Mus musculus: one gene and its partner. The protein of the gene in region 1 purifies or fractionates together with the protein of each later gene. This does not show direct contact. Links are inferred from orthologs where the notes say so. Each region holds a gene or a part of one and is shown on either strand. Other genes may lie near its edges.

Region 1 (9,852 bases):
AAATCAGTATTCTACTAGCAATCTTCAGATAAAGATGTAGAACTCTCAGCTCCTCCTGCACCATGCTTGCCTGGAAGCTGCCATGTTCCTGCCTTGATAATGGACTGAATCTCTGAACCTGTAAGCCAGCCCCAATTAAATGTTGTTCTTCTATGAGTTGCCTTGGTCCTGGAGTCTGTTCACAGCAGTGAAACCCTAAGACAAAGGCTTTGCAAACGTGGATGCTAGCTCAGTCCTCTATCTATAATAAAGCCCTGATAGTAATGCCACTGAAAAGCTGTGCAATATTTTTACCATTTAACTGTTCCCACTGAGTTTCATTGTTTATTTTGATGTCTTTCATGGGTTCTCATGTAAATTAATTTTTAAAATATTTATTATGTGCATGGATGTTTTGCCTGTATGTCTGTCTTTGTAGCACCTGTGTGTCTGATGCCCTTGGAGAACAGAAGAGGACACCAGATTCCCAAGACTGCAGTTACAGACAGTTGTTAGCTGCTATGTGGGTGCTGGGAAATAAATCCCAGTCCTCTAGAAAAACTGCTAGTGCTCTTAACCACTGAGCCATCCCTCTGTCTCCTAAATCTTCTAGTAAAAATGTTTAAGTTATTTTACAAGAACTCAACAAGCATGTGTTTAATATTACTGCCACTTTGATGGGATGCTGCTCCTAAGACAGGCTAGCTAAGACTCTTCCTTCAGTGCTGTACCTTTATAAAGACATGTCAAACCACATGCTTAAGAGACCCACAGTTAGGACCCGACCACGGTCACTGTCCTGCTAAGTACTGTCTAAAGCAGGGTCTGAGGGCCCCAAAGCCTACAAGCCCTGCCACAGCCACCCACTGAGCACTGTGAACAGATCGCCATCAGAGAGGGAGAACATGAAAACGGCCTTCCTGTGCAGTCTCCCTGTACAATTGGGGAAAAAAAATGACATTTCCTGGAGGGGTTCGGTCGTTGGTGGGGCTCAGCAGGACTAGCTGGTGGCTAGCCTATTAATTTTCTTTAAAAACTGTCTGTGCATGTTTGCCCTGGTTCCCACAGAGGCCAGAAGAGGGCATCTGATTCCCTGGAAATGGAGTTACAGGTGGTTATGAGCCTCCATGGGGCTGCTGGGAACTAAACCAGGGTCCTCAGGAAGAACAAATACTATAACTGCTGAGCCACCTCTCCAGCCCTCAGCCTATTAATTTTACTACAGATCAAATTATGACTCCAAGAGGCCATATCCTGTGTCTTTCCTACTAATCCAAAATGGACTATGTATGTGCCCAGACCTCAGCACCAGGATGCCAGAATGCCACTCTACTGCAGGAAAAGTCAGCATTTTCAGTTAGGATGGAAATACACTGGAAGTCACATCGACCTTGTATTGTATGAGCAGAAAAGTGATGTGCCAGGGGCAGACGACTGGAACAGGTGTCTAAAGAAGGAAATCACAGAAGCAGGTAGGACAGGGAGCTGGAGAACACAAACAAAAGCAGCCACCACGAAGTGCCAGAGCGAGCTGGGCACACGTGCGTGTTCTCGGGTACTGACTCCCTTGCTCCGACTGTGTAACACAAGTACTGTTCACTCTGGTCACCGACTGGAACGCTGAGCACCTGTCACAAGACGTCGTCCAGGGGACAACAGAGCTGGGACCCAAAACCAAGCAGCCACAGCACGTCATCCTTTCTCTCTCCGTCTCTGCCTCTCTCCCTCCCTTTCTGATTCTTATTGACAATAAGAGTTTTCTCAAACCTCTACACACACAGTAATCTCATAAAAACACAAAGCCAGAAACCACAACATATAAACAAAAGATCTCTAAGTTAGAAAAAAATGAAGTTCCACTGAGCTTGTCTGGCCTGCCCTTACGTGTAGCGTCTAGGTTATGGACGGGGGCTTTTGTCCACTTCCTGCCTAAGCACTGGTACCCCATCTGGCTTGTGCCGGCTCTGTGCCTGCTGCCTGCCACAGGCTTTGCAAGTTCATGTTTGCTTTAGCACTGCTGTGTCAGGAAAGAAGGCCTTGTTTCCTCGGTGTATACCCACCATCCTTTCTCCCCCCCCCCCCCCCCCCCCCCGACCCCGTCTCTCAGGGGTGGGGTGGGACGGGGTGAGGGAGACTTTTCAAGACAGGCTTTCCATGTAGCCCTGGCCGTTCTGGAACTCACAGGACAGTTCTGCCTCCCAAGTGCTGGGATTAAAGGCATGCACCACCGCCACCCAGCCACCATCCTTTCTTAAGGAGGTGTGTGTGTGTGTGTGTGTTTCATGTATGCCAGGTCTGACATTCGGAGATTCTCCTGTGTGTGTGTGTGTGTGTGTGTGTGTGTGTGCGTGTGTGCACGTGTGTGTGTGTGCTCGAGTGTGTGTGTGAGTGTTTCATGTAGGCCAGAGTGTGTGTGTGTGTGTTTCATGTAGGCCAGAGTGTGTGTGTGTGTGTGTTTCATGTAGGCCAGAGTGTGTGTGTGTGTGTTTCATGTAGGCCAGAGTGTGTGTGCGTTTCATGTGTGTGTGCGTGCGTGCATGTGTGTGTGTGTGTGTGTGTGTGTGTTTCATGTAGGCCAGAACTGACATTCAGTGGTGCTTCCCCTGCTGCTCTCCGCCTTATGCTCTGAGGCAGGCTCTCACTGGCACAGTGACCATCAACTGGCTAGGGTGACCTGCCCTTAAATGGGTGTTGGGGATCCAAACTCAAGTCATACTTGCCCAGTCCTTTGTTAACCACTGCTATATAAATGCTATATTTTCGTGTCTCCTGCAGTCAGTAGCATCGAGAGGTCAACGGCTGAGTTACGAGCAGTAAGAATCCTACTAAACTAAGGGCTAGGGCTATAGATCTCAGAGGTAGAGCGCTTGCTTCCCATTATACGACACCCTAGGTTCAAACTCCAGGGCTAGCTCCCTCATCAAACGAGCCCAGAGAATCCTACCAATAGTCCCAGACACTAGGAGGACCCCCTTCCTGCAAGCCCGCATGCTGTTATTCTGCTACAAGAGTTCTCCAGCTACAAGGAACATGCAAGAATCAAATACACATTTACAGCCTTCCAGGGAGAGCACCTTGGAGAGAATCCACAAGAAGCGCTTCGTGAGAACGAGCGAGACACAGCCCCAGCTCCCCGACATACCCTTTCCGGAGAAGATCGTGACTCTCGAAAGGCCCGCTGGCTGAGAGCTCCGCGACTGGAATACTGTCCTTCAGCTCCGACCCAAGACCTCTGGCGTTCTACAACACAAAGTCAATGCGCTGGTTAGAGGACAGAGGCGCTAAGAACCGTGCCCTTAAGGAACCCAGGATCTACAGAGAGAGCCTTAAGTGCTGCGGTAGCCAGCGCACGGGGTACATTGAGCACCGCATCCGAAGGTAGAAAGACTCCTGCTCTGACTTCTAAATGTGGCAGCAGGGAGAGCATCGTATGAAGAAAAAGAAAAGGAATGAAGACAAACTACGGCCAGTTTGAGATGACTGACATGATTGAAGGGGTAAAATTCAAAGGTGGACAGTCGTATGTACCAAAAAACTTGAGCTTTACCCTAATCTTGGTATGATCAGCCAGATCTGCTTCACTGGAAAGAACCTTCCCATTGGCTGTAGTGTTTTAACCCAATGAAAAGGCTGAGGACAGAACCCCAGGGAACAGGCAGGTCAAATATAATACCAGAGGTGGAATTACGGCATGACACCTAGACATGAGGTCATAGGATCTGACAGAAAGGGGGAGGAGCTGTCTTCTATGATTAAAAATAAATGCAGCTAGTTGAAACAGTGCAAAAGGCTAAAAACAGCTCCTTTGGAACTGTCACTGTCACCCGACATCTGACAGCACAAACTGCTTAGATACAGGTGACCTGGTCTCTGTTACTAGTCTAGACCAAACAATTCTGAGAAAGCAGCTAGTTGATAGACTTACTTCACCTGTGTATTTGACCTGGCAGCTCGCATGGGGGGGAATGTCAGCAGCCCCAACTGGGTCTTGCTTGAGCCTCACCAGTCTCCCCAATTCTGCACAAGGTTTCCCCAAAACACACCACCTCACCAACAAAATCGCTAACAATCTCCTTCTAGACCTCATTAACATCTGAGAAATAGAGTTCGGGGCTCCAACTCTATAATTCAAGGGCCTGGTACTGTTGGTGTCCCCACTCTTCACACAGGAAACCACGGGGATCAGGAAGACAACAGGTAATCTATCCTGGACAGTCACCTACTCCGTGACTGCCAGTCAAGCACAGACTTCCAGGACTGGCCCTGTCTATGATTATAGCTGTCCCAATGCTGACTGACACCACTACAGTACAGTGTTCTCCTGGGGACAGATGTACTGAAAAGCACCAAAGGAGAAGTTTCGCTACACACAAAGGGGAAATTCTGAACTCTAGTATTGCTGTTACTATCGTCCCGGTGTCCTTTTGTAAAATATGAGGACTCCTTAAGGTTCTAGTTCAGTGTCAGATACAAGTTAAGTCTATGAAGACCTAAAAACCATTCATATTTCAGCGTTTCTCACATTCCTTTACACTGGTTAGCGGTCTCTGCCAATCCAAGCTTTCTGGACGTGGGCAGATGGCGTGCGGAGGAGTGCCATAGTGACTCAGGACTATGCTCAAAGAGAAACAGAAAGTGGGGCAGGAGGAGAGGCCAGAAGGGGAGGAGAGGCCAGAGGGGGATGCGAGGGAGTTCAAGCACTAACTATACGAACAAAACGGGAGCGACACATGGCACACAGAGAGATGTTTGTAAACCGAGGCTGAGCTGTACGAATGCAACGGGCGGTCGTGCGCCTTGGCGGGTGTAGGGGTGCAGTCACCCTAAGGGAGAAGGCACGTGGCGTGTCCCAACACGCACACAAGGCTTGGCTTTCGGAGGTGCCCAGTGCATGGAGTGCATCCGCCTCCACTGCTGGGAAGGGGCGCTGTGGCCTGGGAGGCCCGGGGAACTGACCCGCGCCGTCCGATCGGAGCCAGGACCACCCGAGAGAGTGCAGCCCGGGTCCCGCCCACGTCAGACACCCGCCGGGACCGGGCAGTCGCGATCGTGCCCGCACCACGAGTACCCGCCGCGACGGCGGCCCTCCGCGCTCACTCACCATCTTTGAAACAGCTCTGTGAGATCTATAAACCTGCTCGAGTCCGCCGGCCAAACCGCTCACTTCCGTTTCCGGGGCCGAGACGCCCACCCCTCCGCCCCATCCGCCGGAAGTGCGTCCTTCCGGCCAGGAAGGAAAGGGGGCGTGGGAGGAGCAGGGAGTAGCGTTGGGCCGGGGCTCCCACGCTCGCTGTCCCCCGGTGAGCGAGGGCCAAGGGCGCAGCTCGGGTGTGCACTGGCCCTGGCCTCGCGGGACGGTGTTAGATGGGCGTGTGCAAATGCACAGACTTCCCACGGGCCATCCAAGGACGCACGGTGGTGATTTACATAAAGTCCTTCTGCTGAGTCAAAAGTGGGACAACAGGCCTTTACGGTTTTATAAATCGAAGGTCCGAGGCTGGGTATGTGTAGAACCTAAGGAAAGGACCAAGCTAGCTTAGGCACCGAGCCTCAGGCAGAGGCGGGCTCCAGGGTTGTGGGGTGTGGATATTTCCGAACTTGGGGGGCAATCACAACCTGAGTCCCAAGTCAGGTCTGGCCACCGGTTCGTTCATAATAAGCAACTTAAAAGCGGGAGGCAGAAGGCGGCGATATGGTCAGTGTGGCCAGACTGGAAGACAGCAAAGACTTGGGAGGTTCCCTGGGACTAAGTCCTTTTCGGTGACATGGGGGTGGTGGTGGTGACAATTTTAAGTCAGGGTCATCAGAGCTAACGTATGTCAGGCTCTTAGAATTACAAATAACGTGGTTCTACATGTTGTACATGAGTCATCTCCCTAAGTCTTTTCATTAAGCTTTTTTTTTTTTTTTTGTTATTCGAGACAGGGTTTCTCTGTGTAGCCCTGGCTGTCCTGGAACTCACTCTGTAGACTAGGCTGGCCTCGAACTCAGAAATCCGCCTGCCTCTGCCTCCCAAGTGCTGGGATTAAAGGCGTGCACCACCACGCCCGGCTTTTCATTAAGCTTTTTAAAATTAATTTTTAAAGGATTCCTCTAAAACGTTTTGTTTGACTGTCTGCGTGTGCATCAGGTGTGTGCCTGGTGCCCTCACACTCTTTTGCAACATTAGCGGTGTTTGCCAACACGAAAGAGTCTTAGGGTCTTATAGGACTGGAGTTATAGGTAGATGGTTGGGAACCACCCTCTGGGTGCTGGGAAAGGGACGCAACAGATGCTCTTAACCGCGGAGCCATCTCTCCAGCCCTGTTGCTCACATTATGAGAGTATGGCATAGCACGAAGGAGAAGAAGACAAAACAGGTCTTAGCTGTGCTGGCCGGAGGATGAGGCGGCTGGTCACTTGGGTTCTGCAGTCAGAAGCAGAGAGAAATGAATGTCGTCCTCTTGTTTTTGTCTTGTTACTCAGCCTAGGACCCCAGCCTATGGGATGGCGCCTCCCACATTCAGGGTACATCATTTTTAAAATGATGTAAATGACTTCACTGATATGCCCAGACTGTCTCCTCTCAGAGAACCCGGGTTCCTTTCACATCACTCTCATCAGGAGGCTCAAAGCCATCTGTAACTCAGCTTAAGACGATCCAATGCCCTCTTCTGGCCTTGAACTGTACTCATGTACACAGATACATAAAACCAAAGACCATCACCATACCAACATGTCTTTGGCCTGATCCCATGAGCCCTTTCTTTGTTAAGTGCATTTAAGATATCTATTTACATATCTGTTCCTCCAGGAAAATTCCAGCATCTCACACGTAAGGAAATTCCTTTTTTTATAATTTCATTGCCCAGTACTAAAAGAAATGTTCAGCAAGTGTTCAGGACTGACTCTGTATCACTCAGCATGTGCAGTCAACAAACATTAAATGATTATGTTTTTGAAGTAGGATTCCAGTAGCTCACACTGCCCACCAGCTCACTCTGTGTCTGAACGTGAGTGTGTACTCATAATCCTCCTGTCTCTGTCTCCTGAATCTACCATTACAGGCATGGGCCATGATGCCCTGAGATTTTTTTTTCTTAAGCTGCAGTTATAAGGGCTAGAAAAATGAAAAAAGATCTATGTTCAGTTCCCAGCATTTTCTGATTTGGGCTCAATATGCACACACACACACACACACACACACACACACCCAGTTCATTGTTTGCATGGGCAGGTCTAATAATTCTCCTTTACATACGGTGATGGTTTGTATATGCTTGGCCCAGGGAGTGGCACTATTAGGAGGTGTGGCCTCGTTGGAGTGGGTGTGGTCTTGTTGGAGTAGGTGTGTCACTGTGGGCATGGGCTTAAGACCCTCACCCTAGCTGCCTGGAAGCCAATCTTCTGTTAGCAGCCTTCAGATGAAGATGCAGAACTCTCAGCTCCTCCTGCACCACGCCTGTCTGGATGCTGCTGTGTTCTTGCCTTGATGATAATGGACTGACTCTCTGAACCTGTAAGCCAGCCCCAATTAAATGTTGTCCTTTTTTTTTTTAAGATTTATTTATTATATGTAAGTACATTGTAGCTGTCTTCAGACACTCCAGAAGAGGGAGTCAGATCTCATTACGGATGGTTGTGAGCCACCATGTGGTTGCTGGGATTTGAACTCCGGACCTTCGGAAGAGCAGTCCGGTGCTCTTACCCACTGAGCCATCTCACCAGCCCAAATGTTGTCCTTTTAAGAGTTGCCTTGGTCTTGGTGTTTGTTCACAGCAATGAAACCCTAACTAAGACATACTTTACTACCAAATGAGCCAGCTCTTATCCTTTGACTATTGGCCCAGTGAGTCTTAAAGTCGTTGCCTTAAGTAATGGTGGCTTAAGTCGTGGTGGCCAAACACAGGACCATTTATTTTAACACTTAAAGCAATACAGTGTAGTATTTGGAGCAACTCTGAACTCAGGCTGGGTCCTTGGGTATATTTACTTAACATGTCTCCTTGGGTATATTTACTTAACATGTCTTTGTTTTCTCACGTCTACAACGAGGCGACGGTAACATCTATCTCAAACAGTTATATAGTTGTATAGTACTCTAGTACTATAAAAGCTAGCCCACAGGAAGGAAGCCTCCAGCTTGATTTCTCTTAGATCTGAAGATGGAAGTGTGTGGTATCTTCATCAATAAGCTCTTAATGTCTAGTTCTGGTGGACAACCAAGAGGAATGACAGGACATGAACTGTTGGGGGGAGGGGGTCATCTGCAACCTTGTTTTTGAACAATGCATAAAAAGGTATCCCACACCCGGCACTGGGATTTTTTTTTTTTTTAAAATGACCCATGGCTTCTAAGAGCAGTCTTCTCCAGCCATGCAGGATATCTGCAAGCTCTTTTTAAAAGCATATCCATTGCCATTGACTTACACGACAGTAGGCTTCCCTGTGGCTTTTTTATACAGCCTTTGATTTAGGTGGCCCCTACCTCATCCTTTTGCCTCCTCCAACCTCTCCCTCATCCCTATTAGAACGCTTCCACGCCCGTATCTGTCCTCTGCTTCCAGGTTACCCTCGTTCCACTGTCCCCGCCTCTTTTGGGCATCCCCGCCTCAGTGGCCCCTTTGTAGCTTACAGGACTCTGCACGTTCTCTCAGTTAAACGCACACATCTGAACAGTCAAGACTAGGATCCACTGGGAGGGACACATGCTGTCTGTCTTTCTGTGCCTGGCTTACCTCGGATAGTATAATAGCTTTTAGCTCCATGCATCTAAAATGCAGATTTCATAATTTCATTTTTTTTCCTTTATGGCTAGATAAAATTCCGTTGTGCGTATGTGCCACATTTACATTACCCATTTATCCCCCGGTGGACTCACAGGCCGGTTGCATTTCCTAGCTATTACGAGCAGGAAGCCCAGATGAGCAAGTATCTCTGGAAGATAGAGACCATTGGGTGTTGCCAGTAATGGTCTGGCTGGATGCTGTGATAGTTCTATTTCCAGATGAAAGGCTTCTCATTTTATTTTATATTTATTGAGTGTTCTGCTCACATGTATGTATACATACCATATGCATGCCTAATACCCACAGAGTCCAGAGGAGGGCGCTGGATTCCCCGGAACTGGAGTGACAGGTGGTTGTGAGCTGCCACGGGGGTGCTGGGAGTTGAGCCTGGGGCTTCTCTAAGAGCAAGTGCCCTTAACCACTGAGCCATCTCTCCAGTTCTTATTTCTAGACTTTTGAGGAATCCCCACGCTGATTTATTTCCACAGTGGCCACAGTCTCTTGACGATCTGTCACCAGTTGCAGTCATTTGTTTGGTTGTCTGGACAGGGTCTCACTGTGTAGCCCTGGAAGTCCTGGAATTCACTACAGAGACCCCACTGACCTTAGATTCTCAGAGATCCCAGCCTGCCTCTACCTCCAGAGTGCTGGCATTAAAGACCAGAGCCCCCATGCTGGGCCTGTCCTTTGTCGTCTTGAGCTCAGCTGTTCCAAGTGAGCTGAAGTGGACTCTCTAGTCGCTTAAATTTGCATTTCCCTAGGGGCTGCTGATGCTGAAAACTTTTAAAAGTGTTTATCAGTCATTTCACTCCTTTTGAGAAGGTCTATAGTTCTTTTTTAAAAATATTAAAATGGTAATTAAACTACTAAAGCAACTTTATACATCAGCTCACTCCGTTCCTGTGTCTCCACATTTGTGCTGATCCTCCTGTGTCTCCACATTTGTGCTGATCCGTCTCCTTCAGTTGTTACAGTTTAGTTCATCTGTCCAATATAGGATTGTATCATTTTATCAATCATTGTATCAATTTCATTTTATTCTCCAGAATTACTCCCGTCAGAGCACAGGTTTTCCACTGTAAGCTGGTACCGGTTCCCTCCTTTG
Region 2 (9,880 bases), on another chromosome or scaffold:
AGCTGGCAGTGCTGCTGGGGCAGGCTACAGAATGCTCAAGAGGTGCAGCCTTGTTGGGGGAAGTGTGTTACCAGAGCAGGCTTACATGGTTTACAACGTGTTCCCACATCCTGTTCACTCTCTCTTTCCTATGTGTGAATAAAACTGTGGTCAGCCAGCCCCCTGCTCCTGACACTGTGCCTTCCCTGCCTGCTGTCCCACGTTCTCCACCAGGACAGACTTTGTCCCCCTACAAGTATAAACCGAAACACCACTTTCTCCTCTACTTTGCTTTTCGTTGATATATTGTTTTCACAACAAAAGGTAACTAGCCCAAGTGTTTGCCACCATGTCTGACTTATCTGAAATATTTAATGATGTAATAAATGGCTGGAGCCAATAATAATAGGAAAACTAAAGTTCTGTTTCAGGTAACGTAAGTGATTTGACAGTTTGGAAGTAAATACTAAAGCAATGCTGCTTCATTCATTTAAGAAAGAAAGAAAACTCACAACATGGCTTCCTTCCTTTCTCTATATTTCTGGTCTGAACACATAGCTGTCAGGCTGTGTGTCACTATGAGGATTTGGCTATCACCAACACTGCAGGGGTCCCAAAGAAAATGAAGAATATGAAGTATATGAAGTATACACCTCAGAAACCCTGTCTCAGAAAAAAAAAAAAAATGACAAAAACCAAAACCAAAACCAAAAAAGCCCTCACTTGATAGCAGACGCCTATCATCTCAGCACTGAGGAGGTCAAAACCGAAAAAGTTTTAAGTTCAAGGCCAGCCTGGGCTATTTAGCAAGAATCTAAAAATAAAAGCCCAAATAAAATAAAATTAAATAGGAACATAAAAAGAAACCCTTCACTTTAAAACTGTATAATCTGAGTACTGGAGAGACCGCTGTGAGGTTCAGAGTACTTGTTGCTCCGAGGATGTAGATGGCAGTTCACAGCCGTCAGGGACTACAGTTCTAGGAGATCTGATACCCTCTTCTAACTTCTAAGGGCATTAGACATATACATGGTACATAGCTATACATATAAGCAAAACACACACACACACACACACATATATATAATATTTTTTATTTAAAAATGCCTAATTTGATAGCTCTTCAAGTCTTGAATGTGTTAATTTTTTTCTACTGTGCAAGGGTAATAATATTTTTATATAACCACCATCCTGCATAATTTAAAAGTAAAACTAAACATTTTGCTCTTTTCACCCCAGAAAATACATTCCTGTACCCTGAGTATACACATACAAATTAAAGAACAGGATACAGATCACATAAATGAGCACACTGATAATTTAATGAATGTTTTTAAGAAGGTCAACTGCTTTAAAATAGGTGCACATGAAAATTTTATTTCCAATGAGTTTCATTTTAGTATGTACGTTCAAGTGGACAGAGATGTTTTTATAAAGTCCTCCTCACTAGCAGGTGGAGTAAGTGGTAAGTGTTGAAGACTCTGGGCGTGCCAGTCATCATCTGACTGCTGCACGCTGTCCACACATATACAATTGTGCTTCTACTGAAAGTAAGTCTATGCCAGCCATGGAGTAATGCATGCACTATGGATAAAGTATGGATACAGTGAGTATTCCCAACCCAAAATCCAAAACCTTTGCCTGCCTAATGACAAGCCACGTGGAAAACTTCATACCATGAAACTTCACTTCAAACTAAAATGTTTAAGCTATATATAAAACATGAACTCGTGTTTAAACTTGAGACTTAGCCCTGAGATGTGTCATTCTGTATGAACAAATATTCCAAAACTAAAAAAAGAAATATAAAACATTTCTAGTCTCAAACATCCTAGAGAAGGCATGCCCAATATGTAATGGATTTCTCTTAAGTCCTTGAATTCAGTTTTCCAAAATGGCTTGTAACCACACCTAATGCTAAGAAATAGAGGAGTGGTACTAGGAGTGTGGTAGTGGCTACTCCTTCAAGGCCCCTGATGCTCTTTGTGTAGCTCTGGCTATCCTGGAACTTGCTCTGTAGACCAGGCTGGCCTTGAATTCCCAGAGATCCACCTGCCTCTGCCTCCCGAGTGCTGGGATTAAAGGTGTGCACCACCATCACTTGGCTAAAAACTTTCCTTTAAACAAACAAACAAACAAACAAACAAACAAAAACCAAACACTCCATAACTCCCACAATATTATCTTAAAGAAACAAATTCTTATCTAGTATCTGACTCCAGCCCCTGAGATTGGCCAGCACACGCCTGTCTAGTGGATCCGGGTTTCCTCCTCTTACCTTCTCCAACCACTGGAACTGCTGATCCTCAGCAATGTAGCAGCTACACTGACATAGAAAAACCTGAAAGGGAATTTCAAGAGTTCTCACATAAAGTGCACACACACCTGGCCCCGTCGTCATATGAGCACCTCCTAAGTACCAGTGATGGACATCGCTCTATGGAGACGGAGTCCCCCAGAGGCCCATGTGTTCACTCAAAAGGGCCAAGAGCCTCTGGTCATTAGCTGTGTCCGTGAAAGGGTGTGACACCCATCTCTCCCTTTTGCTCCTTTGCTCCTGGCCTTGGGTTGGGCTGTGCCGCCCCTGCGCAGTCCTGCCAAGAAGCACTAGCTCTCCCCACCCCAGCAGGCCTGTGAGCAAAGGGTCTGCCCCGGTCACGCACTGGAACTTCGAACCTTGCAAGCCAAAAATCAACCTTTTCTCTCTGTAAGCTGATTGCTTTTTAGGCATTTGTTACAGCAATAGAGGCCGGGACACAGCAGTCTGCTCCTCTGTTGATTCTAACATTTAAGAGTGAGGCCTAAAATTCACTGAGACATTAGAAATGAGTATCAGGACAGAGAATATCCTGGGTGACAGAGGCCTGGCATGAGAATCTGCTTACTATCGAGGGCTCGTGCCTACATGACCATGTTTCAAGAATACTAAGTCAAGTCTCACATACCGAGGGATCTGATTTCAGTTGATAAAACACACAGAAAACATCTGTAGGGGACAGACGGACAGTGTCTGTAGTTCTGCACCATTCATTCCAGAGCTTAGCACAACCGACTTCTTCCCAGACTCCCGAGTTCATAACAAACGCTGACAGGAATGCTGTGGAGAGAAATGTTCCCGTGAACCGGTGTCTGCTGTGTGAACTACCCACTCAAACCAAAGCTCAGCTACCCGAAAACAGTTCACACTGACCCATCTAGAGTTCACACTGACTACTGCTCCTGTGCCCCAGCTTGGTTCCTAGCGCCCTCCCCCTGGTGACTCGCAACTCTAGGAGAGCTGATGCCCTCCTCTAGCTTATACTCCAAAGCAAACCCACACATAAAAATATGCACATATCTGAGTTCGAGGCCAGCCTGGTCTACAAAAGTAAGTTCCAGGACAGCCAGGGCTATACAGAGAAACCCTGTCTCGAAAAAACAAACAAACAAAAAAAAAAGCACGGATTTAAATTTTTTTGTTGATGTTTTGTTTTTTAAGACAAGGTTTCTCTGGGTAGCCTTGGCTGTCCTAGAACTCAACCTGTAGACTAGGCTGGCCTTGAACTCATGAAGTCCACCTGTCCTTCCTCCCATGTGCTGGGATTGAAGGAGTGCACCACCACACCTGGCATAAATTTCTTTTTAAAACATTAAAGACCTTCTAATTGGACCACTTTGGAGCCAACAAAATTTGAGGCTGAGGAGTGAAAAGTCTCCACTCTCCACAAAGAACTACACACAGGGAGTGGACTTGTCCACAGACTCTGCACCAGTCTCACAATGTAAGATTCTTCTAAAAACAATTAGGCAAGCAGACCTTTATATAATGGGCGAGTCTACTGCCTACTTACACAGTCTCTAAGTACTACGGCTCACTTACAGGGCAAGAGCTCCTAACTAGAGTTCTCAAATGATCTCCTCAGAGACTGCAAACCCAGTGAAATTATAAAGATCTCCATGTGTACTGACATACAACACTGATCCAAGTAAACTCACATTACTCTACTTTGAACCTACCAGGTCAATAAGTGCATTCAAAGACCTTAGAACTGAAGTGTTCCAGATGTAAGCAATTACTGCTAGACCTGTGGACACCATAACAAACTGGAAAACAGGGCCTTGAACTGTAATTCTGAAGCTAAGCATATTTCCTTTAAATCTCATTACAAAGATGGAAAGAACAGGCAATCTATCCTACATGAAGTAAAACGACTGTGGCTTTTGAAGACAGGCTTCACGGAGCCCATCTTGGCCTTGGAACTTCTTCATGCTCTCTTCTGCCACTTCCCACCTGCTGAGTGCTCGGATTTCATTGTGCCCAGTTCACATGGTACTGGGATTCAAACCCAAGGTCTTGTGATTGACAGGCAAGCACTCTATCACCTGAGCCACATGCCCAGGACCTGTTGTGAACTTTTTAAAATACGTAAGATACATGCAGAAGGACCTTCGAGTCCATTCTTCCAACGGGACATATACTCCTGACACTGGCACTTACCTGTTGCGTTGCTTCCTACTGCAATTATAAACTTGGAGCAAGGGTGTGTCTCTAGGAGCACAGCCTCCAGAGATGTTTCTGTCTGTCTTCGGAGAAGCCGAACCTCCCTAACAGCAAGAGACAAAAGTGAACAAATATGACTGTGACCACCAGTTCACTGTAAGAGATGGTGATGGGCAGAATGACAGTCAGATTAAGAGATTAAGTGATAGGTGCTATATAGAGCTGGATGTATAAATAGATGGAAGACAGATGAGATCGATGGTAGACATGTTACTTATAGATATTTATATGGGTAGTAGAAAGGTGCTATATTTACATATACATGGATGGATAAATAGGTAGGTGATAGAAGACAGAGATGAGTGGATAGTTGGATGGATAGATGGTGTTAGATAAAATAATCAGTGTCCTTGGTGCCCTTGCAAATGGATAAAACACTTTCTTTTTATGAGTAAAACTACTAACAAACTTCATACTAGCCTGACACACACAATGCCAGCACCCACAAGCCAGACACAATGTAAAAAGACACTAAAAGCATCTCCAACACTCCAGCCCGCAAAATGCTGAATGTGACCAAGACTTCAAACAAACGTTCAAGCATTTAGCTGTGGCAAAAGTAAGCTAAGACTGACCATCAGACAAATCAGGGCTCTCGGGAAGAGTGTGAGAAGTGAGAGGGAGCTGTCAAATGAAACGAACTGCCAAAAGTGTCTGTCGTTGACACAATCACCGGGAAGTGTATTTTAAAAATCTAGGTGAATTTGACTGTGGACTGGTATGATACTGAAAACGTGTTATTAGCAAACGTGGGGTAGGGAAGGTGCTAAGTTGCCAACACAAACATGACGACCCAAGTTCTGATCCGAGAACCCGCCTAAAAGCTCAGAATGGAGGTACTGAAAAAATAGGAGAATCAACAAAGTTTAATTATGTGCATATTTTATGTGTGGGTTTGCTCTAGAGTACAAATAATTGAGACAGCATGCTTAGGAAGACGTGTGGGGAGTCCTAATCGGAAACTCGTAGGGGTGGTGGGAGAGGAAATGAATGTGGTAAAACCTTGACCAAGGAAGGGGCTGGCGTGACCTGACTTCTGTGTCTGAAAGTAGTTTTGAAAGAAATACGGCCGACATGCGGCGTGACCTAAAGTGCACGGTGGAGGGCGAGCATCGCTGGGCTGCCGACGTCCCAGCGTGAACGCAGGGCACCCTGCAGGCCGACACCGCCTGACGCTCGCAGCCTTCCGGGAGCCTGACCTCTTCCGCGCCAGCTGCCGCCGGACCTCCCGGTCCTCCGGCGTGTCCCGCCTGCTCTGCTCCTCCTCCTCTTCTTCCTCCTCAGTCCCAGCTCTGCACGGCGCCTTCACCACCTCGCCAAAGAACGTGGCAGCCATGGTCCCTCAGCTCCGCGCGGCCAGACAGCGCATGCGCGCCGGCCCGCAGTCACGCCCCCTCCAAGCCACGCCCCCACCCCGCCTCCGAGCGAGGATACGCCTTCCGTGGGGGGAGGGGGGAGAACCTAAGAGCTTCCGGTCCGCCGCGAGAAATGTCCCGCGGCGCGCTTCCGTCATCCTGTTAACCGGGGCACGCAGCGCCCGCTCCACACCCGGCGACCCTCCTGCAAGGACCCACCCGTGGAGGAAACCCAGAGCTGCGGGTGAAGCACAGACAGCTCCAGGGTTGATGACTGCAAGCGGATTCAGAGAACATGAGTGAGGCTGCAAGGCTAGGCTTTTTAAAACCTGGCCATATGTAACTCATAGACCGTGTTTTCTACTTTAATGACAGGAAGAATGTGTGTTTCTGGTTTGTGTGCTGGAAGACAAAGAGCTCCACCGAATGCTGCTCCCACGAGAAAAAGGGTAACTGGCACCTCAGTGGGAAATAAAAACACATTCTAGATTTGCTTGTGAGGAAATGGAGACTGCATTGCCCAGGGTAAAATGTTTGGGGATCAGAGGGTCCTTTAAAAATCAAAACTCTTGGAAAGTTGTTTAAAAATCTCTCACAATGTAGAAAAACGATGCTTCAAGTCTACTGGGAGGAAAAAGCATATCAATCTTAACATACATACTCACTGGTTAATAAAAAGCAGATGAATGCCGGGCAGTGGTGACACACACCTTTAATCCCAGCACCCGGGAGGCAGAGGCAGATGGATTTCTGAGTTCAAGGCCATCATGGTCTACAGAGGGAGCTCCAGGACATCCTTTGGCTACACAGAGAAACCCTGTCTAGAAAAACCAAAGAAATAAATAAAAAGCAGATGTATACCAACTAGAACACTTTGTGTGTAACTATAGCACACACACAAGATTCTCAGTGTGGTGTCTTTAAGACTCAGATTCCAGGGTTAGTAGAAGCGAGCTGAAGAGCAGATGTCCCTGGCTGTCTCTTTGCTGGTTTCTTAAGCGGATACTTTGCTGATAAAGATACTCGATTTGATTTCTCACTCACACATGAAAAAAGCACCAACAGAAATCTGAAGCGTGTTGGTAAATCATAGGGAAGTGGTGGCTTGTCGGCACACATTTGCAGGAGGGATTTTACTACAGTGTTACTCCATTCAGTCACAATAAAGAGACCAAACACTTTAAAGGGTAAATAAAAATATGTTCCAATTAAAGGCCAGAAAGGGATTCCATTATAAAAGGCTGGACAGGATCAGACAGCAAGATGTAACTTCAGATCTTCAATTCACACTGCCAAAATTCACAGGTCTTCATTAGACTGATATATTTTCATTTCATGGCATTTCTTGAGGATATAATTGCTCAATAAGTAATTCTATGACATTTGGGATTGGACATTTAAATTTTTCATTAAAGCTCAAAATAAATAAATAAATAAACCAAACCCATGCACCAAAGAGGAGGAAGGGAACTCTTCCTGTGCTTGTAGCAAGATGCTGAAGATTTCAGAGTGAGTTACAAAAAGACACACACTATGTTAGAATTCTGAGTTGTGTTTTTGTTTTAAGCAGGCATGCAACCACAAACAAGTTTCTCAAGTAATCTGGACACTTTGGCCATACATATAACTGAAAAAAATGTGCATTACTGTTAATGAAAAATACACACCCCTAGGTTCCATTGTTTTTTTGATTTATACATGCAAGTTATGCCTAATAGTCACAGCTATTTTTAATTGGAAAAACAAACTGTTGAAGACAAGTTTCTCCAGTAACATGATAAAAAGACTTGACAGTACATTCACAGGTCACATCTGGTGACCTTAATGTCAACAAATAGCCATGAACAACGAACTAAAGTCCACATCCTCTGTAGGCAAAACATTTGTAGCACAACGACCAGAGGCCAGACTCCCCGACACTTGGCTTGTTAGTGAGCCTGAAATGAACCTGCAGTGTCACATTCTAACTTCTAAGGAACAGCAGAGAAACGTAAGAAATAGGATCCAACTGCATCACCTTAAGCGATGAGTGCATCTTGTTCTAATTTCTGACCACAAGTCTGGCCTTTACATCTTTGCTGCTACATAGAAGAAATAAAGTGTAATAGTCACATTGAGAACTTTCTTAGAAAGATACATTCCCTGAATTACTCATACCAGGTAGCTATCATTCAGTATGAATTCCAATGTTATAAATAAGACATTAATGACAGTCTTTCCCACACTCCTCTTCAGAAGTCAGTAACACCCCAGGATTTACTCTCTCAGTTCCCAGGGATGTGCACTACATAAATCAGACCCAGTTAAAATTCAGCAGTCACATGGGCTTACTGCTCCCTCCTTTGGAAATGGCCTAGTTTTCAGTCTGTGAGGGCAAACCATTGAAATTAGCATTGTTTCCCCATATATCCCACATGCTTTTATTTCTCTAGAGGACCAAGCTGCGTCAAGCCTTTGCTTTACATTCAGTGGGTCCTTCTGCTTTCTCACCTGACAACACAATCCACATCTCCTACCTCCTTGGAACACCCTATGCTGTGCTGTGTAGAGCTAACTGGAAGCCATCATCCCACTTTGACCCAGAGTAATGGCTTTCACAAAATTGTTCAAAAGGTGCTGGGACGGCTTATGGTTGGGAGCGGACTTCAGGGCAGGCATTGGAGCTGCTGACAATTCCCGGTAACCTTTCTACCTCGGAGTAGGCTGGGCTTTTTCCTTCCGGGATCTGAACCGCCTAAGATATAGCTCCTTTTCGTTCTCTGAATGTATGGGTGCATCATCCTCTTTATAAACACTCAGTAACTTTTTCTTAGCTGCAGCAGAGGCTTGTCGATAGGGCAGTTTTCTGCTGATCGTCCTAATGCCGACATTCTCTGGTCCTGAGACCACTTCTTTTAGATTACACATCATCTTTATTTTATTTGCAGCAACGGTAGCACATCTGCGGGGGACTTTCTCAGGCACCGTTTTTGCTTTCAGGGTGTCACTATGCATCTGTACTGCATCCTTCTCATTAAGCATACATGGTCTCATTTTTGTATGGGGTTCTCTGTCTTTACGAACAGATTCTGAAAAATGAGTGAAAATTCATGTAAATACAGAAATCTTGTCACAAGACTGTACTATATACATTCCTCAACAACAGCCCTGAGCCGGTCTTAATTATGTGAACAATTAAAAAGCTGGTTTGACAGGCTTATGGCTTCCATATGCTTCCCTATACGGACCAACCACTGTCATTTCTAAGTAATGGCTTGCAAGAATGAAGTGAAAACTTTCAGCCTCATAAAGCTACTCACCTAAAATGTTTGGATTTAAGAGGAGCACAGCCTGGTGGTGGCGGCGGCGGTACAAATCTTTAGTTCCAGCACTGGAGAGACAGAGGTAGGCAGATCTGAGTTTGAGACCAGCCTGCTCTACAGTTTCAGGACAGCCAGGGCTACACAGAGAAATTATGTCTAGGAAATCAAAGAGAGAAAAGGAGAGAAGAGAATCATGTGTTCCCACTTCTGAGCTTCATTTTTAATTGTACTTCAAATTACTGTGAAATATTTTGTAGCACTCTGAAGTAACTTCCCAGCACCCTAGTAAGGAAGCACTTCCTGACAATGGAGTCCAGCACCAGCATCTCCTTTATTCAAGTGGTTAAATTGCCGAGTCGGTACAAAAGGAAACTCTACTGACTCGACAAAGTTTAGCATGGCCTCAACCTTACCTTCTCTCCAACATCGCTTTACAGAGCTGGGAACCCACAACCTCAAGCTCATGGCAGACGCAGAGTCCTTCTGCCTGCCTGTGTGTGGTTAGCAGACAGAGTCCTTCTGCCTGCCTGTGTGTGGTTAGCAGACAGAGTCCTTCTGCCTGCCTGTGTGTGGTTAGCAGACAGAGTCCTTCTGCCTGCCTGTGTGTGGGTGTCTTAGCAATCCACAAGCATTGGCACCTGTACTATGGACTCACGGAAGGGTTCCTTTAAGGAAGTACATTTCTGCTGAGCTAAATATTGTGA

The links.
Region 2: the proteins of Pomp (region 1) and Psmg1 purify together in Homo sapiens (affinity purification with mass spectrometry; 4 studies listed by BioGRID and IntAct, with this or other methods). This does not show direct contact. The link is inferred for Mus musculus from reciprocal best matches to the Homo sapiens genes POMP and PSMG1.

The regions. Positions count from the first base shown.
Region 1 is NC_000071.6:147,855,920-147,865,771, reverse strand, and holds the start of Pomp (proteasome maturation protein), read right to left. Parts: upstream 5,145-9,852; 5' UTR 5,084-5,144; coding exon 5,081-5,083; intron 3,220-5,080; coding exon 3,122-3,219; intron 1-3,121. UniProt on the Homo sapiens protein: Molecular chaperone essential for the assembly of standard proteasomes and immunoproteasomes. Degraded after completion of proteasome maturation. Mediates the association of 20S preproteasome with the endoplasmic reticulum.
Region 2 is NC_000082.6:95,985,036-95,994,915, forward strand, and holds the start of Psmg1 (proteasome assembly chaperone 1), read right to left. Parts: upstream 5,926-9,880; 5' UTR 5,856-5,925; coding exon 5,719-5,855; intron 4,564-5,718; coding exon 4,457-4,563; intron 3,077-4,456; coding exon 2,925-3,076; intron 2,321-2,924; coding exon 2,258-2,320; intron 1-2,257. Other genes in the region: Brwd1 (bromodomain and WD repeat-containing protein 1), read right to left, coding at 8,563-8,942. UniProt on the Homo sapiens protein: Chaperone protein which promotes assembly of the 20S proteasome as part of a heterodimer with PSMG2.